5 separate regions of the Mus musculus genome follow, and regions 1, 2, 3 and 4 are each reported to be linked to region 5. Evidence: microRNA targets listed by miRTarBase, many of them from high-throughput screens and not tested one by one. Region 5 holds a microRNA gene; each other region holds the end of a gene's coding sequence.

Region 1 (6,450 bases), not on the chromosome of region 5:
CTCTCTCTCTCTCTCTCTCTCACACACACACACACACACACACACACACACACACACACACACACACATATACAGACATGCAGGTACACACACTCCTTTTTTAAAAAAACATATGGACCTGGTAGGTAAACTAAGCATGATTGTACACACATGTAATGTAATACCAGTACTTGGAGAGATGGAGGCAGGAGAATCAGTAGATCAGTCACCCTTGATTATATATAGCTTATGCTGTATGACACCTTATCTTGATAAATAGACAGATGACCCTGTCATTAAATTTTGCTAGGAAATAGTAATAGGGTTTGGGTATGACTTTCAGAAATTGCTAGGGAGTGTAGACTGAAACAAAAAGCAAGTTGTCAACAGGTGTAACTAGGTAAAGAAAACCATATAACTCATTTTTATGTTTTTATTATAGTCTTTTAGTTGTTACTTAATCATGGATTTTAAATACTCTCTCTCTCTCTACCTCTGTCTGTCTGTCTGTCTGTCTGTCTCTCTCTCTCTCTCTCTCACACACACACACAATGTGCCAGGTAGTTAGGATGCATAGGAAAGCATACTACTGTGTGTCCCGGCCATCTTTCCATACGAATGCAGGTTTAGAAACTGTCTGGGAAAAGTGAAGTCCAGGAATCAAAACTTCGATTTCTGACCTGGGTAGGATCAAGCACAACAGATGTGCAAAGCTCAGCAGCAAGCAGTCTGTGGAAAAGGGAGTAACCTAAGTCTATGATGTGGAATAGCTCAAAGACCTGTTACCTGTCAAATAATCTGTACTAGGCATTTTGGTGTGTTCATTTTCAGAGTTACATACTGATTTGGAGGCAGTGGACTTGATTTAAGCCATGGGGATCTGCATCATGTATTAGAAGGACCAAAATAAGCTCTAAATCTACTGTCTTTCAAAGGCTGCTAATTCTTTCCATGATGACATCTTTATATTGTGAAACTCTGGGCAGATCATATTCATTTTTGTTTAACCACACCCCTCCAGTCCATCCGCATTTTGAGTTATGTGCTTTATCTACCATACCAGGGGACTGAAGTCAAGGCTAAGAGTATGCTGGAACTACTCGCTAGTCCCCCTCTCATATCTGTTTGCTGTCGAGCTATTATTAAACATCCTAGGCATTTGTATTTCCCCTTGAAGTAAAGGAAGAGTGAAAGAAACATGGCACTATTGCTGGTACAAATAACCCGATACACACTTTTACAAAGCAGACACAGACCTGAAATCCAGAACTCATTTATTGAATGAATAGTATATGCAAGAATACCATTAAAAGGAAACTAATACTACAAACTACAATTTTGAAAATAAAGCCAATATAACAGGAACAAAATATACATAACATTGAGGAATGTTTGATTTTTGACCCATGATGCATTCCTTATCTTTACAATTAACTTAAATGTCTGCTAAAACAAAACTGTGCCTTGGTCTAACTTCAGTGCTTTTTCAAAAAGCAACAACATTCTACAACACTTTTGCTTTGAGATATTTGAGATTCACACATTTGTTCAAGTACATAGATTCGATTCAATAGCAGATCTGTAGATCATGTTACTCTGTTAGTATCTTGAGTCGTGTGTACTAAGAACCACCTCAAGTTTGAAAACTGCTGATCCTTGACATGAAATTAATTTCTTGTGTGGGCTTTAAAACAATGAGATGAAAGCAAAACTCCCCCCTCCCCCCAGGAACAAAGAGGTCTTATTAAAGTATAGAAACTCAAGTCTACCCTTCTACTCTAAAGAACATTTCTTACTAACATTTCTGGTAAGGCAATAAATGCTCCAGAATAATCTTCAATATACGCTTGCAAAGATTACACGGTTTAATATTAATAATGACAAAAGGGAACAAAAGAAATAAAGAAAAAAAAACAAGAAAAAAAGACGCATCAAAATTTCAGGCTAAAAATACGCAGTAGACAGCAATGGCAGTATTTTTGGAAATGATGTAAATGCCATATATTTGCCAAATAATGTCATGCTTATTAAAACTACAGTTAAGGACTTAAGAGTTGTACAGTAAATACACTGCTGAGGTCTATTGATCTAATACTCCTACCACAATGTGACGCCTAGCCAGATGGTGAAGCTGCTACTTGGGAACGTAAGTACTGTACAATTTTTACATTGTAAGGCACTTTTACTCAGCATAGAATGAAAACAGGAACAAAGAATCAAACTATTGGAAGTTTACAGCCAAACGTGAGTGTTTAATGTGACTTCAGTTTACATTTCAACTTTAAATGAAGGTTATCTAGCCAATCACACCACAGTGAGAAAAACAGGTAGTTAGCCACTTATCTAACCAACCAAAAGGTAAAGTGCTTTTCTGGTTGCTAGTGGCAGAGAAAGGGCTGAAGAAACCCATACAAAATCATACATGTACTACATATCAAATCCATCAACTGACGGCTATAGTATTTGAAGTCCTTTATATAATTATTGACTGGCCATAATTACCCCTGGCACCTTCCATTTTTCTTAAAAAAAATCATTACAGTAGTTGTCCAAAAATGAAGGGGCTCCATTTCTCCATGGGTAAGTTCTATGGCACACAATGGAAAAATTACCTAGACACAGTGATTTAAAGATTTAAAAAAGAATGGTTTTCAAGCTGTTATAAGGAAATAAAGTACAGATCCTTTGGGAAAAGTCGCATCGCTTGGTAAACAAACTGAGATCTGTCCTTGCACTTCAAGTCATGATGAACCTTGAAAATTAATCACATACACATCATGGCATATTAAGAGCGAAAGGAGAAGACGCACAAGGCAATCCACTAAAGCTAGTTTCCTTCTAAAATAACAATAAAAGATGGTTAAAAGAAAGCAAGCATTGAGTCCCTTGATTTAAGTAAATGTGTAAATACACACCTTAACAAACATGATCTTAAGGGACAAGCAGTTTAAAAATTCAGTCAATAAGCACAGTGTAATTTTCCACCTGTTACATTTCAAAACGCTGTTCTACCAGCTACAGAATAGATGGATGTACAGTCAAGTTAGTACGTTATTTCTTATTTGCAAATCTGATTCACTATGGGAGGTTAACTAATGATGTGGAACTCAGAATCCTTACCTTTCATACTGAGGTGCTATGGTAATATTAGGCAGACCACAACTAACTTTTTTGGTTTTGCCATAAAGAAATATGTAAATGTGCTTCAGCAGGTAAGTGGATGTGTGTCACGAGTGAGAAATGCCAGTGGAAAGAAAGCCTTTCTAAAAATCTGGTGATTGAGAAAACACTTCCGAGCCCTCGAAGAAAAACAGGGCACAAAAGCTTATTCAATCTGTAAGCAAACTGATGACTGAAAGCATTAAATAATGTTTCTAAAATAGTGGTCACAGAGTCAAAAAGAAATACTGTTTTGCACAAAGATGGTTCCTTTAAAAAAAATGTTAGCATATAAGACCTCCTTATATATGCTGGGCCAATATGTGAAGTGTTCCACACAACAGGGCACTTGAGAGAAGCTGGTTTCAGACATGATGTCCAAAGTCCTTTAGCGCATTGCTGACCTCTTGAATTTCAAAGAGGTTTAATCTGATGTTGCCAAACATTATTTTGATCTTGATACGATTCCATTATTTTGCCAGAAGCTCTCTGTACAGCACAGAAAGGTGTACTGTCCAGAGTTTTGGCAGAAGCACTGGAGCTCAGAGCTTATCATCACCAGTCGCCCAGAGTCCATGCTGCTCAGTGAGAATAACTCTAAAAAGGACCACAGGTAGGCTTCAGCACGCTTCGTGAAAGAAATGGTTAGAGCATGTGCTGTCAAAGCCAAGACAAAAAGAAGAGTCTCTTCATTTGTCGTTTCCATTGCCCAAATTGCCAGGTGTTGCTACCAGAGGCATGTTTGCAAGGTGGAGTACAACTTGCTTCTGGTTTCCTTTGAGCGTGGATCTACTACACAAACTTACATACTCTAAACAGTACAACTTTGTTCTGTCCAGAAATACAGTTTACTTCATTCAATGTCTGTTTTAACTGCTGACAGTATACACAGGGCTAATAGTGTTTTGACTGCTTCCCAGAAACTGCAAACTACAGCTACGTAATATCAATATGTCAAATTCGGCCGTCTACTGAAGGCTCAGAAAACTAACAAGGTGATTTAGGCAGTTCAATGAAGGATCTAAGAGTCGGGCAGTAAAAAGTTACAAACCCTTTATTTTAGAAAAAAGTGGAAAAGAAGCACAGGAGTTATAGTTGTTTTTTCTCAGTTTTCTAACTCTCTCTGTCCCACGAACCTGTTTAAAAGATGATAAAAAAAAGTAAAATATGATGCTTAAGGTGATATAATTGACATAACATTATTAAGGAACAAGGGTATCTTACTAATGCCATATCCTAACTATGTTTACTGATGAAGTAGATAGCTTGTTTATGGCTCTAAAACGGACCAGGTAAAGAAAAGCAAATACAACTCTACAGGGCAGCCTGTAGAATCCTAACTAAGCATCCTGGCCCCACATTAGGAACTCTATACAATAGGCTTAATAGTTTTGCTGCATCTCATCATTCTGTTTTAGTGTGCACGGTGTTCCGACAACAGAGCTTTAAATCAACTTCCATACCTAGTTTCCATTAAGCTGCTGCTGGGTTAGCTGCTGATCAATCGCTACTCTTCCACGGCTTTTACTCTCTCGCTCCTCATCTTCTTCATCTCGCTCATCATTTCCACTATGGTTTTTACAATAGAGTCTACAATGATGAAAGACAAACATCTCAAAAATCCTTCTTCTAATGTTGATAAGAATATAATTATATAACTACTAGCAGAGGATGTTGGGTCTCTTATAAAATATGGGTTTGCTCCTTCATACTTAGTATCATATGTCATCAGATAACGGCACCTGACAATAGGCCCACATGCTTATTGTCAGAAGGAGACAACAGACACCCAGAACTTGTCCTCAGATCTCCACTTGTACACCATGCCACACACATGTGCCTCCCAACAAATAAATAAAATAGACTTATGAAATTTCTTTTAAAACACAACTTTTATGGATAGGAGGGCTTTGGTGAGTTTGAGGCCAGCCTGGGTTCTGGACTGAGACTGTGTTTTAAAACAATTCCAAACAAAATCCAAGAGTCAGCTTTGAGGTAAACTAATGAACTAATTAAAAGCCACAAAGTTATTTCATGTACATACTTTACAACTATATTTTGAGATACAGTTTTAAAACATATCTACTTTGTATTTGTCTGTGTGTATATGTTCAGCCAAAAGCCAAAGAAGGGTACTGGATCTTCTCAAGGAGCACAAAGTGTTCTTAACTACTGAGCATCTCTCTGGCCAAGGGATGGATTAAAGGTGCTTGCCACCAACCCCACTGGCCAGTGTTTAATCCCCAGGACCCACATTGTAGAAGAACACAAATATTGTAGAAGAACACAAATGAGCGAACAATACACCACACCATACACACACACACACACACACACAGAGGGAAGGGAATATCTATTCTCTATACACTGTTGCTTTCTGCTTTTATTTTGATACAGCCTTCCTCAAAGTCTTCCAATGCTGTCACATCACACACAAGCGTCCTTGCCTTCCCTACAATCTCTTCATGGGTCAGCTCTTCCACCTGCATCTTACTTGGCTATGTTTCTCTTCCTCTATACTGGACCTCCCAATTTCATTTCATGTCACAACACTGACCTATTAAAGACCCGACTGAAACAGACAGCTTGTCAGCTGCACCATACTATGGATTTGTCTAATGCCATTTTCTTTGCTTCTCTCTTACTCCATTTCATATAAACTAGGAATCAAATCTGAGTTTGCTAAGCTACAGGTCCATCTTTAGTCCATCAACCAGCATACTGCATAACTAATCCTGCTCACTTCTGGAGGCACGAGACTTCCAATGTTCCCCTATCAATGATGCTATACTTCATGTCATTAAGGTAGCAGTGACCAAGGCAGAGTGTGTCCTTGTATATGTATGTGCCTTTTGATAATTAGCTATGGAATGAAGAATGCAAGTTCAAGGCCTGACTAGAAAACCCAGTGAGACCCTGGCTCAAAAAAAAATGGGGGGGGGGGTGATGAGAAAAGAAAAAAGGCCTAGGAATATACTTCAGTAGTAGACTTATTTATCTAGCATGTACATGTTCAATCCCCAGAAACACACTCATGCACACATGTGCACATACACAGAAAAGATGATCTGAAGAAAATGTAGTATATGCGTTCACTAGAACTTTGCTTAGCTATCAAGAATACATTTTTATTGGTGCAGGAAAATGGATGGAAGTGGAGACCATCCTGTTAATTAAGATCAATTCCATGAAGACCAAGTATGTGGAGGTTACGGGCTGGAAAAGACCACGAAACTAAAAGGGTGATTATTAAGGATGGGGGGAGGGGCAGAAGAAAGTAACGGCTGAGTGTGATCAAAGTATATTATATGT
Region 2 (6,450 bases), not on the chromosome of region 5:
TTTTTTTGTTTGCTTTTTGGTTTTCTAGACAGGGTTTCTCTGTGTGGCCCTGGCTGTCCTGGAACTCACTTTGTAGACCAGACTGGCCTTGAACTCAGAAATCTGCCTGCCTCTGCCTCCCAAGTGCTGGGATTAAAGGCTCGTGCCACCACTGCCCGGCCAACCCAGTTTTTATCAATTAATCTTTCCTGAGTTTTACCTTCCTCCTGATACAGCCACAGATTCCCATTACTGATAGCCTTTAGGTGGTAAACTTCCAATTTTGTTTGAAAATGTTTTGAGCCACTGTGCTGTAAAGATAGCATCTCTTGGTACACTTTGAAGTGAATACTTACATTGTTTTGGCCTTTGAGTTTTTAAAGTTAATTTTACATTGCTATCTAAAAATAAGGGGTTTTGTTTGCTTTGCTTTTGAGACAGGATCTGGCTATGTAGCTCTGACTGGCCTAGAACTTAGAGATCCATTTGCATCTGCCTCCCAAGTGCAGGCACCCTACTGTGCCTTTTAGTTTAGTTTGTTTTTTATGTATATTAGTGTTATTCCTGCTTGCAAGTCTGGCTAGCATGTGGGTACTAGGAACTGAATCCATGTGCTCTCAATAGGCCAGAATCCAGCCCAAATAATGGATTCTTAATGGCATTTCTATACATGTGCGTCATTATACTGTTTGTTCTCAATATCCCCTGCCCCGGCACACACACTGCCAGCATCCCCTCATACCTGCCCCCAACACTGCCCTCCTAGCGGTCCCTGTTCCTTCTGGCTAGTTCTCTTTCTTCCTTTAGATAAGTCTCTTCTGTTTTCTTGCCACTCTAGTGGGTTTTTGATGGGTGATTCATCTTTGGTCATTGTATTCCTTTTGTGACCTTGTAAAAGCAAGATTGAGTTTCTCCTTCTCCAGTTACTGCTGGTGTTCTTGATGGTCAGAGCTGATGGTGGGCTGGCAAGTCTAACCTTCTGACATCGGAACACGATGTCATCTACAAGATGTCACACAATCTCATGTTCAAGAACAGGGGGGATAAGAAATCCCACCAGATGAGACCAGGCATGTTCAGAGAGATACAGCCATGGACAAAACACCAAAAACTTAGGCTTAAAGTAAACTCACAGTTTCGTGTTGAATGGTATTCAGAACTATCCATGCCTCCACACAGCCCACGATACTCACAGGGCTGCAGACATACGGAACACTTCTGTCTCCCATACCCAGCCTCACCCATCAGCCAAGGTCCTTTACCTCCCCCGGTTCCTCCGGCTCCCCCTCTGTCCTTTGCTTAGGGTTGTCTTCTGAACAGCTTCCTAAACTTTCTGGAAACATAGTTCTTTTCTGGCTGGAATGAAGGGTTGGGGAAACTTACTTGCAGTGTTTTTCATTTCTAGAAGTTCTACTTGATTCACATTGTCTGACATCCTTTTACTCTATTGAAAGGTAACACCTTTTGCACCTGCTATTCCTTATTCACATGTTTAAGAATTCCTTTATCAGCTGGTCGTGGTGGTGCACGCCTTTAATCCCAGCACTCAGGAGGCAGAGGCAGGCAGATTTCTGAGTTCTAGCCCAGCCTGGTCTACAGAGTGAGTTCCAGGACAGCCAGGGCTACACAGAGAAACCCTGTCTCGAAAATCCAAAAAAAAAAAAAAAAAAAAAAAAAAAAAGAATCCCTTTTCACTTTAGCTAAAGTGTCGTTACTGTTTACTGTGCCCACTCTAGTGCCCCAGCGTCCCCGCTCAGATCTTGTCTTTTGTTGGCTTCTGTGACCTGTGTTTTGTTTTTTAAGCCTAGAAAAGCTCATCTCCTTAGAACTTACTGTACACAAAATGCTTGAAACCTGTTTGTTGTATCTGTGTTCCTCTCAACCAGGGCAGTTTCCCCAGAGAGCAGTGAAAGATGTCTCTATAGACAGTTTGTGTTGTCACAGCTGGGAGTTTATGTGCATGACCGACACCCAAGGGTCAAGTATGCAGTTCGAAAAGACAGGTGAGCCTGCAGGAGACTTTCCTACTCTATACTACTGCGTCTGGGGCTCCATGAGGATCCGCACTGGCCTCTGGCAGTGCCCCTCGGCCTATCAGGACCACGTAAAACACTGCCTTGAGAGTGGTGGCGAAAACCCTTAATCCTTACTCTCAGGGGGCAGAGGCAGGTGGATCTCTGAGACAAGGCTGGTCTATAGACTGAGTTCCAGGACAGCTAGGATTACACAGAAACCCGGTGTCTGGAAATAAAAATAAATCCTCCCTTGGGGACTCTAGGGCCTCCCAGGCAGTCTGGCTACAGGCCACAGACTTCCAAGAAACGATAGTGTTATAGAAAGCACGAGCATGTGGTTTTCACCTCCTTGGAATATCAAGGCTGTGAGGCTATGTTTGCTGAATCCCCATCTGTGTCATCTTGTTTCAATATACCTCCTGGCACGTGAGAGGTCTCCCAAGGAATGTCACCCTGGAGCAGAGGCTATGTTAACAGTTCCATCTCTTACCTCTGACCCTGTGATGATGTCAGGAGGGAAAGGCAGCTCTTCAAGGTGTGACAGACACTTCAGAGAGTGAGATGCCCACCCAACTGTATGTGAGGGCTTGAGACAGGGTTTCTCCCTGCAGCCCTGGAACTTACTCTGTCAACTAGGCTGGTCTCAAACTCAAAAGACCCTTCTGCCTCTCTGCCACCCCAGCCACCACCTTTGTTTTTCTGCTGTGTCACATGACATGAGCAAATTTAAATAGGGCCTAGTGTGCAGAGAAAGGATTCTATTTTGTAGATAGAATAGCTATCTTGGGCAAAGCCAAGAACAGAACGTGAAGCTGTGAATCTGAGGTGGCCTGGCCATCTGAAGAGCCTGGCAAGGCCTAGACCTTGCTGAGACCTATCTCTATGGGATAGGCAGAGTCAGCCCCAGTCTGGAGTCTAGTCAAGTGTCTCTAGGACCTGAGGGACAGGAGTGGCAAGCCATGGAATGGAAGGGTACAGAGGTAAAACAAGGAACACAAAGGAGGCTATGGGGATGGAGGGGCAGACCCAACCTGTTGCTATGGAAACCTGTCTCTAGATGGCAAGTCCACCTGGGTAAACTAATCTTGCAGAATACAACCACCTTTTAGAACTAGCTTTCTTCCATGCCCAGAAACCACTCCAGTTCCTGAAAAAGATGGTTTGGGTGCTGGACTAACTTGTACTTGATCAGGTCGCTTTGCTGGCCAAACACAATGGGTTCGTATTCCACACTGGAGTCTTCAGGCCACAGAACTCACCTGTGACGACTCAGTGCTCCACCAGAACAGGCTAAATAGGTTCTCCTCATCCAATCTGTGCCCACCCAAGCTGCCAATGGGAGGCATAAGCAGGGAGAGAGTCACATCCACAGGCTCAGTTTCTTCCCACACGCCTGGGTTGCTTTCCTATGGATAAGTCAACGATGACACTGCCGAGCCAAGTAGGGCATTAAAAGATGCAGACGTGCTGGGTGTGGTGGCACACACCTTTAATCCCAGTACCAGAGAGGCAGATCTCTGAGAGTTTGAGACCAGCCTGCTCTACATAGAGAGTGCCAGGACAGTCAGGGCTACACAGAGAAACCCTGTCTTTAAAATAAATAATAATAAATGATGTATTCTGCCCACAGTGCACTGCATGACTTGGCTGGGAGGCCCAAACTTATCTATTTGGGGGGATAGGACCTCCTTAGGGGGATGGCCACAACCTGAGCTAACTTGATGCCATCTTTCCCCAGTTAGTTAACAGTTTAAAGACAGTTAGTTTTGGTAAGGTGGGTAAGCCAAGTTATTGGCTTCCTTCTAGGAACCACACTAGCCTGGTCCAGCTGCAGCCAGATTTTCCTTCTCAGCCTGTTACACACAACCCCTGACTTTGTGGCTCTTCCAACAGGCACAGAGCCCTCTATTAGATAGCCCCATCCTCCTCCCATTCCATGTCTCCCTTCTGCTCCTATCTGAGCCACAACCACCTTTCCATAGTGCCTCTGGTGGACAGAAGGAACCTCTAACCTCCTAGTTCCTGGGCCTCCTAGCCCACCCTCAGCTCAAAAATCTATCTGCTCACTCACTCAGTAATACCAAGGTAAGACAGGGCAGAGGAACTAAGCTCAACTAGCAGCCCCTGCTGGGCATTATGAGAAATACAGCCCAGTGTGACCAGTACTTTTTACTAAGCCAGTGATCCCAGGAAACCCTGCCAGGTGGATCAGGACAGACGTAAACATGCCCCCTTCTCTGTAGGGGCTGCCTGAAATCAGGTAAACGTGAGGATGATCCTCCGCCACCCACTGACAGTGGCAAGTGGCAGCTTCCGGCAGAGTACATTTCTAGCAGCACCCAAGTCTGGAGGCAGCTGCCTCCTTGAGGGCTCTGAGGTCTAAGCCCTGGTGGTCTTCAGTCAGAAGACAGGCTCCCGGCAGTGTCATGGAGCTGAAGCTAAGTCTGTGTGCACTTGTCCTAGAGAGGTACAACCAACTAGATGAAAGTGGAGTCCAGAGGTCCCGAATCCTGCTGGCTGAGCGCTCGGGCCTCAAACAGCTGCTTGATGAGTGCAGACTTCTCCTGCTCCAGCTGCGTGATGCGCTCACTCTTATCAGTCACCTCCTGGGCAGGCGAGCAGGCAGGCAGGCGGTCAGGGTTTGCTGGGCCTCCAGCCCCAGCCCCATCTTCCCACACCTCACCTGAGTGAGAAGCCGGTTCTGTTCTTTCAGCATGAGGATGGTCTGTTGCTGCCAGACTGGAGTTGAGGGTGAGGGAGGGCCCAGGGGCCCTAAAGAGGACGAAGGCAGAGCCTGTGGAAGTACACAGTGAGCCAGACCTTTCCTGGCATAGCATCCAGAACAAGGACAAGGGATGCCAGGCAGCCTCCAGAGCACTCACTCTGCCAGAGCAGGCTGCAGTCAACAGCTCCCCCAGGCACCGGGCCACCTCCTGTACTTTGGGCAGCAACCTCCCCAGAGGGCGGGGGCTTCCTTCAGCCCCAAAGTCCTGGAAAAGAAGCGGGACCATGAGGAAGTCCCGGAACCTGGCACACCTGTTCATCTCAAGTCTCAGCTCAGAGCCTCAAGGGAGCCCCACCCCAGGGCAACTTGGGTCCTGTTGTCAGGGCTGGCCTGGCACTTACTGCAGCAGCTCTGCTCTGGCTCAGGCGGCGCTGACGTTCCTGCACACGCTGCAGCTGCTGCTGGTACCAGTCTCGGCCCCGTGCCATCATCTCCAGGCCCTGCAGAAGCACCTCCTGTTCCTGGTCTAACTCCTTCATCTGCTTCAACTATAACACACACGTGAGCATGGAAATGTACTCATGACAGCAAGCAGACTGGCTCTATGCACACCTGCACATACCTTTGTGCTCCAGGAGCTGCAGGTGTGGGAGCTGAGACCTGTCCACAGGCAGTCTAGCACACAGACACAATGAATGACATCAGCACCTGTGTAGTCTGCCAATGCACCCACGACGGAAAGCACCAGCTTATCCAGGGAAGGTTCCAACGTATGCCTTGGAGAACATAGCCTAGTTTCTCCTCTTTGGATGATGGTGATACTGGAGACTGGCCTCTCAGCCCCTCTACTGAGGCTTCCCAGGGCAGCGGAGTGACTGAACAGACTCAGCACTCTAGCTTAAAGTAATTATACTCTTTGTGCACTAAGCTGGCCTGCAGAGGTGAGCCTACCTGGTAGGCAGAGCAGGGTCCCACACTCTGTCTCCAGGCATCTCTAAGGAGCCTCTTCTCCCTGTGCCTGACTTTGTCTGTCTTCCCTTAAGCCCAAGAAGGGAAAAAGCTGACCAGTTCTCCTACAGGGATTCCCCAAGTAACCAGGCCCATGGGATCTCCCTGGTTTCCAACCTTCTGGATACACAGAGTCCCTCAGAGTCCTGGCCCCTCTTACCAGGCTGCAGTCCACACCATTGGTGATGGTATGCCTTCGACGCTCGCCTCGGGCCCGTGGAGCCTGCCGGGCTTCACCTGTGCCCTTGCCCAGGGTCTTACAGGCTGCTGCACCTGTAACAGACAGTCGGGGACATAGCTTAACTCTGGGCAAGCCTAATGGCCTCATAATCTCATCCTGGCTCCCCAGCCCTTCCAGAATCCTCCAGCTAACTGCGACAGTACAAACCCCAGGGACCAGGCCTGTGCAGGGAACCTCAGTCAGTACTGATTCCTGAGTGTGCTTTTGCTTTCTCTGTTGACTTTGTGCCTAGTTAGGACTTGGAATCCTCTTGCCTGCCCTGAGAGGTTGGGGGTGGGGGTGGGGGAGGCAGGAAGCAGGGGCAGGGAGTCACCCAGTGCCTGACAAAACATATCAGATACATATATCAAGAGTATCAAAGAGGGAAGGGCAAGAGACGAAATGGATAGGCCCTGGTGTGGTGACCCACAGCTTTTGAACTTCCCTTGGGCTCTCCAACCCTATCTGTGGCATCAGGGTCACCCCCGAGGCTAAGCCATCCG
Region 3 (6,450 bases), not on the chromosome of region 5:
CACCAGGGGTCCTGTGTTTGTTCTTAGACCCATGAGTGATTACGTATGCTAGTGTTGGGCCTGAGGAATCGGGGCGGTTGTGATGCGAGTTTCCCATCCTCACGTATTTTGAGGAAGATGTAGCAAGAGCCAGCAGCTGAAGGGAGCTCCCTTCTGCAGAGTAGGCCCTCATTCAGTCCCTCCTCAGGAGCACATGGCTGCAGGGGGCAACTGCCAGACCTTCTCCTCCTCCACTGTTATCTCCTACTCCAACACTGGGGACGGCGCGCCCAAGGTTTACCAGGAGACGTCGGAGATGCGCTCTGCCCCAGGCGGGGTGAGTAAGGAACCCCTCTATCTCAGAGGAGGTAGGATGGATCGGCATCCACAGGAACCAGGGTCATCTGTTTTCAGGACTGGGTCGTGGGTGGCTGGTTCGTCCCGGGGAGATGTAGCCAGGGCTTTGTGGGGAGAAGTGAATGAGCCTATTCACCTCGTCCCAGATCCGGGAGACACGGAGGACTGTCCGGGACTCAGACAGTGGTCTAGAGCAGATGTCCATTGGGCATCACATTCGGGATAGGGCTCACATCCTCCAGCGCTCCCGAAACCACCGCACAGGGGACCAGGAAGAGCGGCAGGACTACATCAACCTGGATGAAAGTGAGTGAGCCTGTCTTCTTCTGGGCAGCAGTCCCTGAGCTAGTTGCTGTAGACTGGAGCATAGCTTTCTCTACCATCCCACAGGTATCTCAGGCAGAGCTGTGGGTGAGCCCTGTGCTTAGGCTCTGTTGCCAGCTTCAGGGCTGAGTCAGGTGTTGCCAGGGAGGGGGCAGAGCTTGACTGACGTCAGGTGCTGATGGTTGTAGTTTCCTCTATCGGGATTGGTGGCTTTTCTTTTCCACCCTTTACTTTGTCTTTCTCAAATGAGTGCTTTATTAGCTTTCGTGATGTATAACTCCAGTAATTGTGCCTCCCCATGGTGTGTAACCCCAGTAGTTGTGCCTCAGGCTTGCCAGTGGCATCCAGGAACTGTGTTGAAGCTAAGATGGCTCCCAACCCCCATTCTCCCATGCATGATCTCAACCTTTGCCCTGGTTTCTGATCTCAGAATACTGTGGCTTCCATGGCTGCTCTCTGTCCTCTTTAGGTGAGGCAGCAGCATTTGATGATGAATGGAGAAGGGAGACATCCCGATACAGACAGCAGCGTCCTCTGGAATTTCGACGGCATGAGGCATCTGTGGGTGGGGGGCGAAGGGCTGAGGGGCCTCCCCGCCTGGCGATCCAGGGACCTGAGGACTCCCCCTCCCGACAGTCCCGTCGTTATGACTGGTGAAGGCCCCAGGCTCTCAGCTTCTCATGTAAGTGCCTGAGAGGGAATAGTGGGAATGTGACAGACCAGAGGAGGCTGGCTGGCAGATCAATGTAGTTAAGCTGTCGTGGGACAGGAGACTTGCTCCTTCTGAGTGGCTGGAAGATGCTCCTGACCCCAGACTTCTGTGTCCTTTCTCTGACAGGCTCATCTTTCCTTCCTCCAGGTGCAGGCTGAGCGGCTGAGTAACCATCCTTGAAATGACTGTCCTTTCCAACCTCTATCCCAATTTAATATTAAATTAACAGGCAAGCTGGCCCCGCCTCTCCCTGGGTCTCAGGGAGAGCCTTCTACTGCCCCCCTTACCTACGTTTCCATCTTCACCCCTCACTGCGTGTCCCACCCATCCTGTATCCACTAACTTGAGTTCTCATGTTGCTGCTCCATCTCCAAGCCGCCTCATCTTCCCGAGCCCCTGCCACGCATCGAAGGGTTTTGGGGAAAGCTCTGGGTTTAGGGATCTCCGTCCCTCAGCTCCCCTGACCCTTGCCCACCTCTTCCTCAGAGCCCCACTGCAGGTGCCATGGTCCTATAAGGGCTGTGGAGAAAGTGGACTAGTTCCAATTCTTTGTCCCTTCCCCCACCCATCACAGAAACACTTTCCTTTACCCTTCTCTGCCTTTATAAAAACTAATGATTTGTGCAACTTGTAACTAGGTGTTTATGGAATAAAGGAGAATGGAAAAAAGTGAAGATTCTGGCTGTACTTTTGCCCCAGTTCAACCCTGCTCAATCCTACCTTCTGCCATCTTGGCTCCACATGTGGCCCAGCTGTCTTAGGGTTTCTTTTGCTGTGATGAAACGCCATAACCAAGGCAGCATATAAAAGAAAGCATTTAATTGGGGGATTGCTTGTTGCAGAGGTATGGCCATCAGGGCGGGGAACAGAGCGGCAGGCAGGCATGATGCTAGAGCAGTTGGCCTACATCTGCTCCACAAGCAGGATGGAGAGAGAGACTGGAAATGGCTTGGCCTTTTGGAACCTCAAACCCAGTGACACACCTTAGTCCTTCCTAAATAGTCCACCACAACTGGGCACCAAACATTGAATTATATGAGCCTGCGGGGACCATTTTCATTCAGACCATACCAGTTCCTGGGTAGTGACAGGGCTGTTGCAGCTCAGCAGGGATGGGGTGGGGGTGTTTGCTCTCCCTGGTGTAACTTCACTCCAGGGTCATATTGGGGTACAGACTGTAACCTATGGAATTGGCTGTCCCTTCCGTCCCTTGGGCAGGGTTGTTTGCCAAGGCTGGGCAGACATGCACAGGTAGCTTTACCCGAGTTTCAAGAGGGAAGGATTTCTCAAACTCATCAGCCCCTAGCTGCTGAGAACTTGAGCCAGGGAAGGAGAGCAGTGGAGAGTAAGCTGGAACCTGAGCAGTCTGGAGGCTAGGAAGAGCTCACATTTCTCTGAATGCTCAACTCTTGCTTTGCAGCCAAATGGGTCACCCTGTCCCTCCTACATGCTGGGCAAGCACTTGGCCACTGAGCCAGGTTTCTTTCTTTTTTTCTTTTTTTTTTTTCTTTTTCTTCTGCAGACAGGTCTCACACTGTAGCTGAGAGCAACCCTGAGTTCCTACTCCTCCTGCTTGGGTTATAGGCCTGTACCACCATGCTGAAGCGTTTCAGCCTATTCAGTCTATTCAGCTGTTATTTTGCTGATAAAAGTTAAAATAGAAGGCCAAGCGTGGTGGTGGTGGTGAATGTCTTTAATCCATCTGGAAGCAGGTGGATTTCCACAATTGAGGCCAATCAGGACTATATAGTCAAAACTGTCTCAAAAAAAAAAAAAAAAAGGGAAAGACCCTCTCAAGGAAGAAAGGATTTTGTATGACATTCAGGTCCTGACTTAGCTTAGACAATCACTGGCTAGAGGGCTGGTGAAGGCTCATGCCTGCAGGGGCAGCATTGCCTGGGTTTTGAAGCTGGTAATTGAAGCTCAAAGCATCCCCAGTCATTTAAGTATAACCCCTGACATGATGATGGCTAGGCACGTACTTCCTGTGTGTACAAGTTGCTCTCATCAGTCTCCTGAGGGGTTAGCTAGGGTTGAAGAAAACCAGAAACTTGGTCTCCAGGCCAGTCTTCCTATAGCTTGGTCTTCTTGCTTACCTGGGCCTCAATTACATAGTTACATTCCAACTGCAAGCAATCTTAGGGTGTAGTTCATGCGTCCCTCTGCATTCCAGTGCTAGTCCCCACATTCCAATGTTCTTTGGAGTCTGTTTGTTTTGCAGGCTGGGTTCTCCCTGGTGGTAGGGTTCCAGGCTGGAGCTAGTCCAACCAGCTCTCAAGTGTAGCTATGGGTTGTCTAGAGCAGGGCCAGGACCCTGGCTTCTCTGTCACAGCCAGGACTTCACAGTTTGGGTCTCGGTTTTCAGGCACACAGGTTCATTGTTCTGTTTGTGTAGTGCTGGGCATAGGACCTGGGGCTTTCTCACATATGCTCGACAAGTGTCCTACCCCTGAGCTACAGCCCCAGTCCTTAGGAACTAATACTCCCCTGGTCTCTGCTCTCTCGGGTGGGTCATGATCACCTTGCTTCAGCCTGGCCCACGTGATGGTAGTGCTTACTTAGCGACATGTTGTAGGATACAAGGTGCCAGCAAGAGACTGAGTTACCGAAGAACAAGTCATTTGGGTGACTATTCCCAGCACCTCACCTCTGAGGTCACAGTGAAGAAGAGCTGGGAAGCAAATAGAAAGTGGTGGCACATGCCTTTGATACCAGCACTGGGAAGCAGAGGCAGGCAGGCCTCTGTGAGTTCTGGTCTACAGCGTGGTCTACAGAGTGAGTTCCAGGTTAGAACTGTGAAGAGTCAGTCTCTCTCCCTCTCTCTCTTTCTGCCTCCCCTTCTCCCTCTCTGTTTCTGTCTCTCTCTCTCTCTTCCTCCCTCTCTCCCTTACACATACACACTTTCTTTTTGTTTTTCCAGGCAGGCTCTCATGTAGCCCTGGCTGTGCTGCAAGTCCCTCTGTAGACCAGGCTGATGTTGAACTCAAGAGATCCACCTGCCTCTGCTTCCCTACTGCTGGGACCAAAAGATCAAGCCACCACCACTGGCTAAGAGACCCTTTCTCAAAAAACTGAAAAAAAAAAAAAAAAGTTACTCTCCTCAGGAATGCTGGTGTGTTGCTTTGGTCAGCTCTCCATCTGGGCTCAGCCTCCTCCGCAATAGGTTCCGCCTCAGTCCCCAGACAGTAGATAGACATACTCAGGCCTGGCCTCACCCCAGAAAAGTATAGGTCAGAAGGGGCGGGTCTAGGGCGTGAGGCTAAGCCAAGTGATGCAGAGGAGCATGCTCAGTAGTGAGCGAGCCCCAGCCTAACTCTACTGCTTAGGAGCTGCTAACTGTAAGAGGATCATCTTTCATAGTTCGTTCCCTGTGTGGGCTTTGCTAGAAGCTGGAGGTGTGGACTCATGGAATCACACCTCAGAATTGTGAATGGAGTGCAGAGGACACATCATCGGGAACACAAACCAGTGTTCTTAGGTTTCTTTTTTTTTTTTTTTTTAAAGATTTATTTATTTATTATATGTAAGTACACTGGTACACTGTAGTTGTCTTCAGATACACCAGAAGAGGGCGTCAGATCTTGTTACAGATGGTTGTGAGCCACCATGTGGTTGCTGGGATTTGAACTTCGGACCTTCGGAAGAGCAGTCGGGTGCTCTTACTCACTGAGCCATCTCACCAGCCCTGTTCTTAGGTTTCTATGACTCTGGTGATCCTTCAGCCCCTACTGTCCTCCGAGCTCCTAAAAAACGCTTCAGGTACGAACTGGAAACCATCCTCTTGGCATGGACTCCGCCCCCTAACCATCATCCTTTGCTTCCCCCCATCTCAGCCTTCAGTGCGATGCTGAGATGACAGGTGGCAACTAGAGGCTTGGCTCTGCTCTGCTGCGGTTTGGAGTTCTCTCTCCTGTTGTAATGGTCCCAAATTCGGCATTTTCTCTGTCTTCCCCTACTCTGTATCCAAGTCCTATAGATGACGTTACCTGGAGAATCAGGAAGTGACCTGCACTTAGATCACAGCAATGCTGGGCATGTGACACTCACCTGTAATCCCAGTACCTTCACTCCGGAGGCTGAAGAAGAACTAAACTCCAGACCAGAGTGGGCTACGTACTGCAGTAGTTGGATGCCAGCCCCAGGCTATATAATGTCTCAAAAGAAACTAAATTAAAAAGTAGTAAACCCAGCAGTCTATTCTGTTAGTTAGATTCTATCTCTCTATCTACCCATCTAATTTTTGTTTTGTTTTGTTTGTTTGTTTTTGAGGCAAGGTCTCTCTCATAGCCTTGGCTGTCCTGGAATTCATTCTGTAGACCAGGCTGGCCTAGAACTCACAGAGATCTACCTGCCTCTGCCTCCCAAGTGCTGGGATTAAAGGTGAACGCCACTGCAGCCCTGTTTCAGCTCATGTATTAAAATGCTAACTTGATTCTGCATGTCAGGACAAGTCCTGCTCCCAAGGTCCAGGGGTGGGGGAGCATCAAGGGCCAAAAGTCCCTTCTCTCCGCTCTTGTTAAACTAGGGGCAGCAAAGAGACCTTTTACCTCTGCTGGTTTGGTTTGGTTTGGTTTGGTTTGTTAGTGGGGAGTTAAGTTGTTGTTGATGATGTTGTTGTCTAGATAAAGGCTTGCTATGTAGCTCAGGCTAGCCTTGACCTTGCCACTTCACTGCTACCTCAGGCTGAGGTATTGATATTGAGGTATTGATGAAGTGAAGAGATTGTGTTTAGACACAGAGCTGGCTCTGCCTGAGGGAAGGATACATTGTGGGATCTGCCCTGCTCAGGCTGCTGGCTCCTGGTCAGCCTGAGGTCCTGTGCACGCCCCAAGAGGGGGGTTTTCGAGTGACTGGAGTGCCTTGCCTTTCCTCTGCCCTCTGATATCCTCCTGAGTGTGTCTCCTCTTGGATGGGTGTGGAGTGTCCCCTTCTTGTTTCTCTCTTTTTTTTTTTTTTTTTTTTGGTTTTTGGTTTTTCGAGACATGGTTTCTCTGTATAGCCCTGGCTGTCTTGGAACTCACTTTGTAGACCAGGCTGGCCTCGAACTCAGAAATCTGCCTGCCTCTGCCTCCCGAGTG
Region 4 (6,199 bases), not on the chromosome of region 5:
TTGTGTAAAAATTAACAGAAGGAAAAAGATATTTTGAAGGCTAGAAAGTAGAGAAAAAAGGAAGTACCCTACATGTATAGAAATAACAATTTTTGTATCATGTACCAAGTATGTTTCCATACTTATTGCTCTTTCTTCTCTTGAAGGCTTCTCATTTCTTTTGGGGACTCTGGGCTTTGATACAAGCTAAGTACTCCACGATCGAGTTCGACTTCCTTGGGTAAGACGATGCTAACTGAGGTTCTTTTTCCACGAGGTTGAGCTAGTGTAGACAGGACAGGGAGCCCCGTGTCTGTTTGCAGCATTGTGAAAGCCACATGCACTTACATGCTCAGCACGGGGCGTGTCCAGCAGGGGCAGCAGCAGCAGGTGAAGCATGCACACTGGCAGTGTGGCCTCTGTGCAGTCAGCTCAGGGCAGCTCTGACTCTGCCTTGTTCTTTCCCCACTAGGTATGCGGTTGTCCGTTTTAACCAGTACTTTAAAATGAAGCCTGAGGTCACAGCACTAAAAATGCCCGAGTAAAGAAGAGGCCTCGCTGTTCTCCAGGAGCCGAGCGACGCTTGTGGATGTTTCTGAGAAATTCCAAAAGCCAATATTTGTTAAAACTCATTTAATTTGGTTATCTTGCTTTAAGGATTATGCCTCTAAACAACCAACCTATTTTTAAATAGAATGATGTTGAGATATGCTTACTGCTGTCAGTGTGTGGCGGGCTAAAGAGTTGACCATCAGCAGGGAGAGTGAGGAGTGGGGCTTTAGCCTGTGGCAGTACAGCCATGTTACATGTGAATTATTTATTACAGATTTGACATGACTGACTACTTTGATCTTTCATTTGTTGGTTCAGTGTATGCAATGAGAATATTGTGGAAATCTTTAAAAGGTTTTGTTGATAGATTTAATTTCAGAAAAACATTCTTGTTGTTCAATGTAACCTTTGTAAAATGAATCATTTACTCTCAACCTTGGCAGTCACTGCCTCAGTAGTAACTTAGGGTATTCTAGAGAAGGGCCCATTGAGGGGGGAGTAAGGGAGTTACTGTCTCCTGGGGTATACTTTTTTGAATTGGAAATTGGAAATCATTTCTTTTGGGGGAGTACAACTTAGAATTAAATTGTCTCTACATAGCCTGACAATATAAAATATATTTACTGTATAAGCCTGGAATATAACAATTTAATGTTAAAATCTGTTATTAAGTCATGTTTTCAAATACTAGATACAGTCATTTAAGGTCATAGTCCCAAGTTTTAGAATTTACCTATCAAATTGTTTCTAACCAAAAGTTTTGTTTTACTTAAGATACTCTGTTTTTGTTCATTAAGTAATAGCTGGTATTGTTAGTATTTGAAACAAACATACAGAGTTCATCATACTTGGAAGCAAGGAATATCATTTAGATGCTTTTTATTCAGATCCATTCCTTAAGTTGGTTTTGTGTCTGTAGAGTCAGCAAATGATTAATTATACATGTGATTCCAGAGTAGTGTTGTTGAAGCAGTTACAGAATCAGTAAGGAACATTTAGCTAGGTCATTGAGCTTGACTACTTACAATCTAACAAATAAGGAAATGTGAATTAGACAGTAGTTGTGGTAGGAGGACTTGTTTTGATTTATCTTGGTTTTGTCAGTCTAGTTTTTATTTTGTGGATGTGTAGGGGGAGGCAACTATTTCATGAAAGAAAGTTAGGTCTTTGAGGTAGACAAGAAGGCTTTAATCTTTGAAGACTGCTCTGTGGGTTGAGCAGTCAGGGGTAACTTTACTTAGATTAGTCAGACAGGCTTTGCACTTTGGTCACATAAGTGCTTATGTACAAAGTTGGCTCCATGGATCTGCATATTTAAAGTATGCACTACAGATCTATCCTAAGATTGTCTGGTGTTCCACATGACTTATGTTCTCAGCCAAGTGCTTTCAAATACTTGGATTGTCTCAAGGTGTTCAAACCTAATAAAGTAGAAACATGCCATTTGAAATGGTAAATTCTAGCCACATATATACACTCTTAAATATGTGTCTCTAACAGTGTTAGACCTGGCTTCGGTTTCTACCTCCCCAGTGCTGTCATGTTCATGTTTGTTTTTATGAACCACGTTACTTACTGTAAGATCATTACAATTTTGCTGACTTCCTTGAATGGAAACAAATAATGACAAGCTCGTTACAACGTTCAAGCAAACCTGAAAAAAGAAAAAACAACTGGCTTAGTGGAATTTTCATTCATGGTTGAAACATTGTCGTAGGATGATAAAAATGTGAGCCTCCTGATTCTTTTCTTTCCTCCTTAAAATCCGAGAGTGTGTGTCATGTGGAAACCCTGGAGAAGACAGTGTTGCTAGTCTGTTCCTGTTCGTGAGAATGCTTTGAATGGAGGCTCACTGTGCTGCGGCGGCTGCGGCTGCTGCCGGTGCTGCTGGACTGCAAAGCAGCCAGCGGAAATGTGACAGGCTCCTGTGGCGTGAGTGCAATGACAGCGAGGCGTCCTTGTTCACCCTGCTAGCACGTAAGAGATCGTGGAGAGAGACCAGCACACGGGAACTCTTGCCCCCATTCCTTGGCCAGATTTGGGTGCTCTGATGCACCCGCTTCTCATACAGCTTTTGGGGATCATGGTGTAGACTATCAAGAGGATTCAAAATGTCTTTCTTTGTATTGACCATGTAAGGGATTCTAAAGAGGGTATATTGGGACTGTTCTGAAGAGCATCCCTCTAAAATGTGTCCTGTGGCTTGCTAGATATCAGTTGCCTTCTTTTGTTCAGCTAAGGAACTTGAATGCCTTACCTAATCACTCAACTGGTAGTAAGCTCGTTTTGTAAATGTGAAAGTGGATGTTAGAAGTGGCATTCATGGATGTTCAATGTAATCAATAGACCGTAGTGGCCTGGATGCTTTCACAAGCAAAATTCCCCATTTCTGCCCTCCACCCCCATCCTGTTTCCCTGGCACACTGTATGACCTTCAACCTGACCAGTGATATTTGATAGCCTTCCTCTCCCTCTGTGCTACCACCATTTCTGGAAATGAGATGTGGTGGCCCCGTCTTGCTGTTGGCATGATCTGCCTGAGATGAACATGAGCACAACCCTCATCAACTAGGTCTGCTTGGAGTGTAAATAGGACGGTGTAAATAAGCTGCTGCAATTAGTGTGAGTGTTGTCTTGCCTAAAGAGTGTGTAGTTCTGCATTTTCCTTTGTAGAAGTTTTTCTGTCACTAAATGATCCAGCCTGTTGTCATTAGGCTGGGAACCGAGCAGTAAGATAGCAGGAACTGGAAGGAAGGTTTAATGGTTTAGTTAACGTTGGCATTTATTTATTTAGCCTCTCAGTGCCTAATACGACTTTTCTCCATTTTTTACTTGGCTATTAATTTTTTTTGTAGGTTAGATTCTGGGAAGCAGTATATTTATAGAGCTCATCTTTGAGTCACAATTTGAAACTAAAGGAAACTAAAAATATAATTTGTTTGTAAACTGAAGTGTGGTCCCCTTTTCTATTTTCAGAGTTTGTTGACACTTTCTACAAAAACTTGAAATTCAATGTGAATGTAAATCTCATCCATACGAGACACAGGGCAAATGACGTCTCTCACGTTTGTCAGGCCTCTCCTCTGGAGTGGCTCAGTGTGGGCCAACTAGTTTTCTCTCCCTGACCCCCAAATGTTTATTTTAACTTTGTGTTGCTAACAAAAAAGAATTCCCGCAAACACTCGAAAGAAAAGTTAGAATATTTGAAAAGTACTCAGTTGTCTCAGTTGTCCGCAGAGCCCGTGTCTCCTGGTGACCTCACTGACTGACTTACAGAGGGCAGTAGGATCAGGTGGGACTTTACTTTTTTCTCTCTAACTTGCTTTTAAGCATTTTATCCTGCATTCCAGAGTACTGTAGACTTAAGTATTCCCTGTTAACGTGTCACCTGTCACCATGCTTTGTCCTGGGGTTGTCCTCGTGGCAGCAGCTTCTGCTACCTCACAGGGAAGGTGTGTGCAGGTGGAGAGCCTCCTGACAGGTCTCTGGCTTCAACTGCTGCTGATTTTCCTCTGTCAGATTGTAGGCTGGCCTTTACTGTGAAGCTGAGCTGCATCCTCTGGCCCGTTCCTGTTCTGAGTAGGTGGTGAGCCGCCTTTCCCCACAGTGACAGCAGTGTTCAGTCTTGGGTTTGACAAATGCTATCAGCTGCTCCAGACAAAACATCCCCATTTCTGGAATTTCAGTCCATGTTTCTGTAAACGAAAATACTGAAGGCTTTGCATTACTTTGAATTCTTGAAGGCTAAATTCAGTGACACGTTACAGAATGAGTTAGATTGGTTTTAGCAGTTTTTAATGCTGAAAATTTTCACTTTTGGCTCAGTTTGATACGGGAAGAAACCCCAAAGTATTTGGATTAGAAACAAGTCGTGATGCTTGATCGATAAGCACTTTAACTCCTGTGTTGGCTGACGCTTCTTTCTCTCCTGGACTGTAGACTATGGCACCACCAACCTATCTTTGTCCATTGTGCATTGTATGGCGTATGCACTTGCAAAAATACTCTTTAAAATAGTTATAATTTTATCTTTTGGTTGTCTTACCCATGGTGGTCCTTTAGATCCTGTCAAGTAAGTTTTAATAAAACACTAGGTAGTTATAGAAAACTGAGAACACCACATTGTCTTTTGATTAGTTTGCGAAGGTGGAGCAGGAAAGCCTATCCGATTGGAATTGCAGGCTTCCTAGCTGCAAACTCTTGAGAGCTAGGTTGAAACCCAATGACACCTGCAGAGCGGTGGAGGGCGGGGAGTGCCTGTTGTCCACCCCTGCACTGTGGCGTGCTGCTGTTTGTTGTAGGTAGCGACGTACTGAGTGTTCCTTGTTAGTAATCTGGAGTCGTCCTCTGTATTTACATGTACTAAAGTAACTGTAAACTAATGGAACTTGTAAGAACTTTCCTGTATTTAGGAGCTTTTGTACAGCAAGGTCACATGTCCTGATTGAAAGAAGAAGACATGCTATTACCTATCATATGCAAGGGAAAAAGCTGAAGTGAGGAGTTGTCTTTGCATTAGCTGTCTGTTGAATTGGGGAGCTATGGCACAGGATCTTAAATTTGTGTTTCTCAAATGTGAATTGTAGTCTAATGCTGCTTTGTATAGACTAAGTGCTATGGCTAGTCTCAGCACTGACCGTGGAGTGATACCTCGCAGTGAGCGCAGCCTTTGTTCTAGCTTCCCCGACTCCGCAGCACTGTCTGCGTGCTGGACAGCTTGCTTATCTGTCTGCTAGCAGAGATACTTCCTGCTTTTTCCTTTGTTGTTACATATTTTTATGTTTGAAATTTAATTTTTACTACTGTTAATTTAAGTAAAATTTGTTCCATGTATAAATTGGCATTGCCAGTGAAAATCAACAGCCTCATTCATGACGCTGCTGAAGTGAAGTACATTTGTGTTCTGTGTTCATGAACTTGCAATGAAGCCGTGTTTCTTTTACGATAAAGTGCGGCTTAGGCTTTATTTCTGTTTAATAAGGCTTTCTACCATTGATTAAATGAAGGAATGTATCTTTTTGAAGAGATTTATATTCTGTAAATAAACATTGGTTGTAACAATAAAGTTGAGTTCTAACTATAATGTGTCCATGTGGTTCATACTCAATTAAGACTCTCTCTTGTAGAATGAATATATGGAAGTACATGACTTGAAAGGGTTGGAGCTGAGTTGTAGAACATTTGCCTAGCAAGGGCAGTCAGTGTCTTAGGTTTGATCCCTAAAACAAGAGAAGAAACAAAAGTTTCCCAGAGTTAGTAATGAGGGCTGGAGATCCTTCTTCTTAGGAGAGGAGTTACCCAGTAGTCATGACGACTGAAAATTGTATCCCAACATCCACATAGCAAGCTCTCCACTCACCTCTAACCTCAGCTCCAGGGGCATGGGGCACAAATGATCATTGAGGCTTGCTGGCTCCCAACCTAACCAAGAAAATATGAGCCCAGGTTGAAGCATGCTAGGACTCAAAAGAGATCCGCCTGCCTCTGCTTCCTGAGTGCTAGGATTAAAGACATCCTCTACCCTATTAGGCTGATTGCATTTCAGCCACATAGAAAAAGAGGACAGGAAATGGGGTAAGGCTATACATTTCCAAAGTCCACTTGGTGACGTAACATACTTCCAGCAAGGGTTCTAAGGACTCTGCACCCTTTCCACATAGCCCCCAGC
Region 5 (6,450 bases):
ATACAAAAATCTTTGGGAGGGAGTGAGATAGGTCCCTGGTTGAACGAAGGCAAATTCACTCAACTTCTTTAATTAGGGACCCATGGGCCTTCGGTGTCCCCTCTACAATGTGCAGAGTGGAAACCCTTACCTGGCCCTTTATCAAACTGGTCCTGTGTCCAAAGCTCCCCCTATAAGAGGGACAGGAACGTCAGGCTTTTGATGCGAAGCCCAATCAGACACACACTGTGTCCCTGAAGAGGCACCTTAAAGAGCTGAACCCGGCAGGGGGCAGATTCCTAGCATGGCTTGGAGTGGATGCTGACACCTGGTCCGGTGGTCTACTGACTCCTGAAGACCAGTCTGCACTGGGGCAGGCGGGCTGGTGGCAGTGGAGCAAGGGCTTCAGGAGGCACTGGCTCCTCTCACTTGCCCTCCTCTCCTCCCCAGTATCACTTTGCTTCTAAAACATGGAACTAGCACAGGGATAGCAAGAGACAACATCTAGCTGACTCCGTGCCACCATGATAGATCCTGTTTAGTTTTGGGAAGAGAGGAGTTGATATGGCATCTTTGTGGCAGACTGCAGGTGGTAAGAGGACTCTGGTGGCAGTCAGGCCTAGAGAGCTGGGGTTTCATGGAGAAGTAACAGGGCTCCCATGAAGCCACACTGGGCTTTGGTCACATGGAGAACCAAGAAGCCAGAAAGGGACCTTAAAATTCAATCAACTCTGAGGCTCTTATTGCTTAGTCAAGACCAGCCCTCAGAGCTTTGTGAGAAGACCCCTCCTGCAGTATTGGGATGCCAGTGAGATCAGGGTCTGGACCTGAAGCCACAGTCAAGCTCCCATGTTCCTGGCTAGCACCTGCAGCCCTCAGCTCACCTTGGGAGGACCCTACAGACACCAGCAAATGAGGCTGGGGAAATGGCATGTGTTTGTCACAGAAGTGAAAGCCAAGGCTCCATAGCCTCGGGCCCAGGAAGAAGTCTGCAGAGTGCTGGAGGAATGCCAGCCAGTCTCCACTCACACCACCACACTCCTCCACCAGGCTTTCTCAAACCCCAGGCAGGACCTCGTGTGTGGAAACTAGAAAAATTTGAAAATATTGACTCCTGAGTGGGAGGTACCACACCTGAACCAACCCACAAACGCTGGCCGGCCTCCAGGGGAAGCAGAGATGGGGTAGGAACTCCCGCCCACCTCGGAGGGAGGCAGGGAGTGGGCGGGACTCACTTAAGGCAGTGAGGTGGAGGCCCCTCAGGGGCCCCTTGTGTTCCCAATGGTAGCTTTCCACTTTGGGGAAACTTCCACTCTGTGACTGACATTGAAAGCAACAGGGCTGAGAGCTCAGAGCTGCCCAGAGCACAGAGCTATGAGGACCTCACTCAGTCCTATAACGAGAAGCAGGAGGCATTTGGCAAATCAAGTAAGAGCAACACTTGGGACAACCAATCAATTAAGTACAACCGGGGAAAGTCCTTCTCCCAAGGCTCTGGAGAGGAAGAGCAGCAGCCGAGAAGGATAAAGGCGAGAGCAGACGAGAGCTGGCCAGGGCGGGACACCAGGAAGACACAGAGGGAGAGCCAAGCCCTCCCCAGCCTTTGGAGCTAATGTCCTTGCATCAGCTAGCACAGAACCCCTGAAGAGCACTTTTGGGATCTACACGCAAGGAGACAGACATCTTGCATTGAACATTTGCATTTTCTTTGTACCCCAGCGCTTCCCACACAAACCTCAGGCCCAGGACTGGAGCTCGGGCGAATATAAACCACTCCAAGTTTAGAAAGAGATTTTTAAGAGTTAAAAGAACAGAAATCAGCTATATGTCCTCCTCCAGGGCAGAGAGAAGACCTCCTTTCCCATGGGAGTAGGACTATGGCTTGGGAGTGAGAGGCTGGCCTGGCACTGGAGCCCGGGTACAGAGAAGTGCCCATGGCAGGCATTCTTGCTGGAGCCAGGTGTAGCCCATAGGACACAGAACCTGGTGGGTCTGCGAACATGCTCTCATATTCCCAAACATGTCTGCAGCTGCTGGCTAGGTTTCTGTGTTTTCTGAAAGATGTGTGTCTGGGCATCCAAAGCAGCCTCCGGCCTCTCCCTTCTCCTTGGCACAGGTCTTGATGCTGAGGGAAAGCCATGGTTTGGCGAGGGAGCCTACAATAGTTTTCATGGCTGTAAAGCTCAGTAGCTCACAGCATAGCAGGAAAGAAGACAAATGACTTGGGTTGAGTCCTTATCTTTCAGCTTCTCCCCCTACTGCACAACTGGGCACCCAGGACCATAGTTTACCGGACGGGCACATGCACGCACACACACCCACACAACCACCTGGGAACTGAGCACGGGGTGCAGAGAGCTCTGGGTCTTGGTCTGATTTCCTGCTCTGCGTGTGACCTGCTTTTGTCCCACACGCCCTGGCTACTTGCAGACCCCGTCAGTGAGGCTGACCACAAAGGCACAGTGTAGCAGAGTCCCCTGTTGGGATGGCCGTTTCTTGGAGCAGGAAGGCTAAGGGGCCCGCAGCTGCCCAAGGCTGGTGTAGACATCATCAGTTCCACTTAGCTCCTCGAAGACTGGAATCAGGTTCAGCAACTCTGTATCTGCCATGTCATCAAACCAGGACTGCACAGGCACCTGGGGCAGGAAAAAGTGACATTATCTGATATTTCCTTTCCTTTCCAGTGCCATTGGAGGCTGCTGGGCCACACAGGGGTTGTGGACTCCTCTGATAAAGCCCACGGGCCCAGCCTGCAGCCACCCCAGTCCCTGATGCGAGCACTCACTGCATTTTCTGGGTGGAAGATGTAAGATGCAGGGGAGTTGTCCAGGATGACAGTTTTCCTCAGGTCCCTTCCCAGGCGGCTGAGGTCCTTGACATAGCAGCCCTGGTGGAACACACAAGCCTCTCGGAACAGGCGGGCCCGGAACACCCCGCACCGGTCCAGGAGATCAGTCACAGGGTCAGCATACTGGAAAAGAAGGAGAAGCTTTAGCCTAGGCTGAGGGCTGGCTCTCCCCTGCCTTCTGCCCCTCCTGCAGTCAGGTACCTTGGCCAAGCTGGCAGTGAAGAGAACACATTCGAAGAGCTCCCCCATCCGTCTCAGGAACTCATCGACGTAAGGCCTCTTGAGCACATATACCTGGGAGACAGAGTGGATTGCTGTAGGAACCCCACAAGGCCAAGGACACAGCACCGGCTCTGCCTGTGCACTGACAGAAAAGCAAGCAGGCCTAGATACCCAGGTCGAGACACTGAGACCTCTGCCCCACCATGGACAGCTCTACCATGTTACCAGGCTTCTGCTGCCTCAACAGGCCCAACCCTAACCCGGCAGGAAGGAATGCACTCCCAGGAGCCATCTTCATTGAGGGCAGACCATGCGCTGCCTCCAGAAACAAGTAATCAAGAACAGGCCTCATGGACGGACACAGCCTATCCTGGATTACTTGAATCCAGCCGCAGCCTCCACAGTAGCCTTCTGTACGGGATTCCAGCAGGACGGCTTGTGTAGGTCCCATCTGGCAAGAACCACAAACTTCTTCAAACACACACCCTCGTAGGTTTGTGTGCACACCACCAGCTTCGAGGACTTGCTCGCTTTTAAAGGTTCTTCAACTAACTCGCCACCCAGTCTATGATCTGCTGCTTCTTCTTTCTTTCTTACTTCAGCCTGCACAAGTGTTCCTTAGGCCCACTCACTCACTTCCTTAAAGCAGCACAGGGGGTGTGCCCACCCCAGTCCCTCCTAGCCCACATCAGCACCAACTGAGCAGAGCCCTCCCATTTAGCAGCAGAACCCTCCATGCAGCTGCAAATGGATCTATCCATCACCTTCCACTTCTTAAGCCTCACAAACAAGCCCCTTCCTCACCAAGCATTGCTCTCCTCCCAGGCTCTCCTCAGATCCACATGGCAGGCAGCCCTCTCACTCAGGCCCCTTCTGCCCATGCCAGAGCCCCATACATTCTGTACATTTCTATTTCCTCAACTAGACAGCAGGGGGTGATGGGTGGAGTAAAGAGCCACAGCTTCGAGGCTCTGTACAGAAGTTCGTAAAGGGGCAGAGGGCTACGATGACAAACCCAGGACAGTCTCAAGCTGAACTTTCTCAGTCTGAAAACAGGTCTCATGCTTGCTAGGATGTCTGCATCACTGTCTCCGGCCCTCCCCTGGGCCGACCAGCATGCCTCTGGGCACATGGTCTCTCACCAATGCCTCGTGGTCCTTAACCCTAGGCAGCAGGGTGTACACGGCAGAGCCTGGACTCTGCCACTCTGACAGATGCATATGGAGCACTTACAGAAACCAGTGTAGAGGTCAGAAAGGTGTCATAGGAGGGGCCTGGGCCAGGGAAGACACATTCAGTAGCTCTTCACCAGAGGGCACAGGAGCAAATCCTAACAGCCCTGCACACAGAGCAAGGCTCGCCTGGTCTAAGCATGGACTGCATGGGCTGGACAGCATATGCTCTTCATTGAGGAGCTGGGTTCAATTCCCAGCAACCCCTGGCAGCTCACAACTGTAACTCTGGTTCCAGGGGATTCGACACCCTCACACAGACACACACGCAGGCAAAACCAGTAATGCACATTTAAAAAGCCACAGTGATGGCTAGGACTATGATGTGAAAATGCCAGGGGCTGCACACAATGGTGAAGGCCTTTAATTAACTCCAGCCCTCTGTGAGGTCCAAGTCAGCTAGAATTAAATAAAGAGACCCTATCCTGGGCTGGAGAGATGGCTCAGTGGTTAAGAGCATTGACTGCTCTTCTGAGGTCCTGAGTTCAAATCCCAGCAACCACATGGTGGCTCACAACCATCTCTAATGGAATCCAATGCCCTCTTCTGGTGTGTCTGAATACAGTTAAGTGTACTCATATACATAAAACAAATAATTCTTTAAAAATATTTTTAAAAAAGCCAACAGTTCTTGCAAACAGCCTGACTACATAGAGACAGGAGTGTTGGCTAGAGGGAAGTGTGGATGATCTGGAGACAAGCCATCAACAAACATGGAAGCTGATGATAAACAGGTTGAGAGGCAGTTTCCCTTTGAGGCAGGGTGTATGCTGGCAAACAGCTCACCTGGTGCGTGGTCCCCTCAATCTCTACAGGCACTATGAAGTCAGCATTGTTGATCGGCTAGAAGGCAGAAGTGCACAGTGTCAGCAGACAGGAAACCCTACCCCCTGGAGACAGCCCACTGAGCAGTTCTTAGCCAGCACAGGGCAAAAAGTATCACATATTTTCCGGTTTCCCTTCTCCTTCATCCACCCATCCATCCTACCCACCAAATTCTACCTGAGGTAAGTTTCAGGGCTTTTGAGATGGGGTCTTGCTACATAGTCTGGGCTAGCCTTCACCTCCTGCTCTCATGAGCTATGCACACAGGCATGCATGCCTGGCTCTTTGGGCTAGCCGTGTTCATCTCCTGTTTCCGTGAGCTATGCACACAAGCATGCATGCCTGGCTCTTTCAAGACTGACTGGCTCTTACTGGGTAACTCATGTTATTCTGGAACTTGTGATTTCCCTGCCTCAGTTTCCCAAGCACAGGGATTGTGGAAGTTCCCTCTGCACCCAACTTAAGGCTTTCTTGAGTTAACAAACGCACCAGTCAGGAAAACCAGATAATGCTTACCTACTTTTTCCACGGTAAGTCGAGACAGACACAGCATTTAGGGTGGGGTGTGTGTGTGTGTGTGTGTGTGTGTGTGTGTGTGTGTGTGTGCCTTAACCTCTTCAGTTTGGCCTCTGGGTATCTGTGACTCCAGGGTGGCCGACAGCCTGTCCTGTCCCTGTCATTTCCACGTTCATCTGCTCACCTTACTGACCCTGCTGTGCGGCTCACACAGGCCCAAGGGAAGGGTACCACGCTGACTCACCTTAAAGGAACTGTGCACAAGGGTCTCATCCAGGTCAATGACCACGCAGATCCTGCCTTGATCTTGCTCTGTCACCTCGGGGAGCAGGCAGGTCCCAGGGATCTAAAAGCAGAGCCAAGCTGCTGAGCTGTGCCCAACAAGAAGTAAGCCCAATCGCCCCTCAGCACAACACTGGGAAGAGCCAAGCTGCCTGCAGACAGTCATCAACACAGGAAGGTCCTGCTTAAAAGCAGAGAGCAGAGGCAGCGGGGTCTAAAGACTACTAAGGCTGTGGGAACATTTGGTGTCATTCTGGGATGGTAGGGAGTAGACAGCAGAGATGGGAAGAGGGTGTGTGCCTGTCCCGAAAGTTTTACAGGGCCCTGGCAAATACTCAGCACAAAGAGTGGGGAGGTGCTCAGGACAGGAGAGTAACTGCTCTGCCTGCCTGCCAGGCTAGTCAGGGCCTACAGGGTCAGCCACCTCAACGAACCTGATAAAACTGGTACTGGAGACACTGGAGGAGATCGGACTGTGGGAGACAAAGGATGTGGTAAGTGTTAATTTATCAACTACAGCCTTTCTAAGCAAAACACTGCCTGTGA

What was found. The annotated mature microRNA mmu-miR-26a-5p reads UUCAAGUAAUCCAGGAUAGGCU and lies in region 5 at 3,412-3,433, opposite strand. An mRNA with a match to its seed (bases 2 to 7 or 8) in the 3' UTR can be bound and repressed. Matches are read on the target gene's strand: a 7mer-m8 pairs with bases 2 to 8, a 7mer-A1 pairs with bases 2 to 7 and ends in A, and an 8mer does both.
Region 1: the mRNA of Phf6 is a reported target of mmu-miR-26a-5p. Seed matches in the 3' UTR shown: 7mer-A1 at 2,715-2,721 and 8mer at 1,527-1,534.
Region 2: the mRNA of Sapcd2 is a reported target of mmu-miR-26a-5p. The part of its 3' UTR that is shown has no 7-base or 8-base seed match.
Region 3: miRTarBase lists Mlf2 as a target of mmu-miR-26a-5p. The part of its 3' UTR that is shown has no 7-base or 8-base seed match.
Region 4: miRTarBase lists Etnk1 as a target of mmu-miR-26a-5p. Seed matches in the 3' UTR shown: 7mer-A1 at 2,774-2,780 and 7mer-A1 at 3,532-3,538.

Annotation. Positions count from the first base shown.
Region 1 is chrX:52,951,730-52,958,179 of GRCm38, reverse strand. Phf6 (PHD finger protein 6) reads right to left here. Exons shown (of 11, transcript NM_027642.2): 10 at 4,602-4,728; 11 at 1,219-4,274. The coding sequence ends at 4,602. Among named protein-coding and RNA genes, the nearest start is that of Hprt, 33 kb to the left of the region's middle.
Region 2 is chr2:25,374,502-25,380,951 of GRCm38, reverse strand. Sapcd2 (suppressor APC domain containing 2) reads right to left here. Exons shown (of 7, transcript NM_001081085.2): 3 at 5,888-6,000; 4 at 5,121-5,267; 5 at 4,877-4,984; 6 at 4,678-4,788; 7 at 2,739-4,600. The coding sequence ends at 4,472. Among named protein-coding and RNA genes, the nearest start is that of Sapcd2, 5.7 kb to the right of the region's middle.
Region 3 is chr6:124,934,104-124,940,553 of GRCm38, forward strand. Mlf2 (myeloid leukemia factor 2) reads left to right here. Exons shown (of 9, transcript NM_001170341.1): 6 at 188-316; 7 at 483-642; 8 at 1,130-1,342; 9 at 1,520-2,046. The coding sequence ends at 1,317. Among named protein-coding and RNA genes, the nearest start is that of Mlf2, 5.9 kb to the left of the region's middle.
Region 4 is chr6:143,202,933-143,209,131 of GRCm38, forward strand. Etnk1 (ethanolamine kinase 1) reads left to right here. Exons shown (of 8, transcript NM_029250.2): 7 at 147-220; 8 at 452-5,614. The coding sequence ends at 524. Among named protein-coding and RNA genes, the nearest start is that of Gm52926, 37 kb to the right of the region's middle.
Region 5 is chr10:126,992,526-126,998,975 of GRCm38, reverse strand. Mir26a-2 (microRNA 26a-2) reads right to left here and starts at 3,446; the gene lies at 3,363-3,446. It overlaps Ctdsp2 (CTD (carboxy-terminal domain, RNA polymerase II, polypeptide A) small phosphatase 2), which reads right to left. Exons shown (of 8, transcript NM_001113470.1): 3 at 6,339-6,377; 4 at 5,867-5,968; 5 at 5,068-5,124; 6 at 3,029-3,121; 7 at 2,765-2,950; 8 at 1-2,615. The coding sequence ends at 2,490. Mir546 (microRNA 546) reads right to left here and starts at 536; the gene lies at 416-536.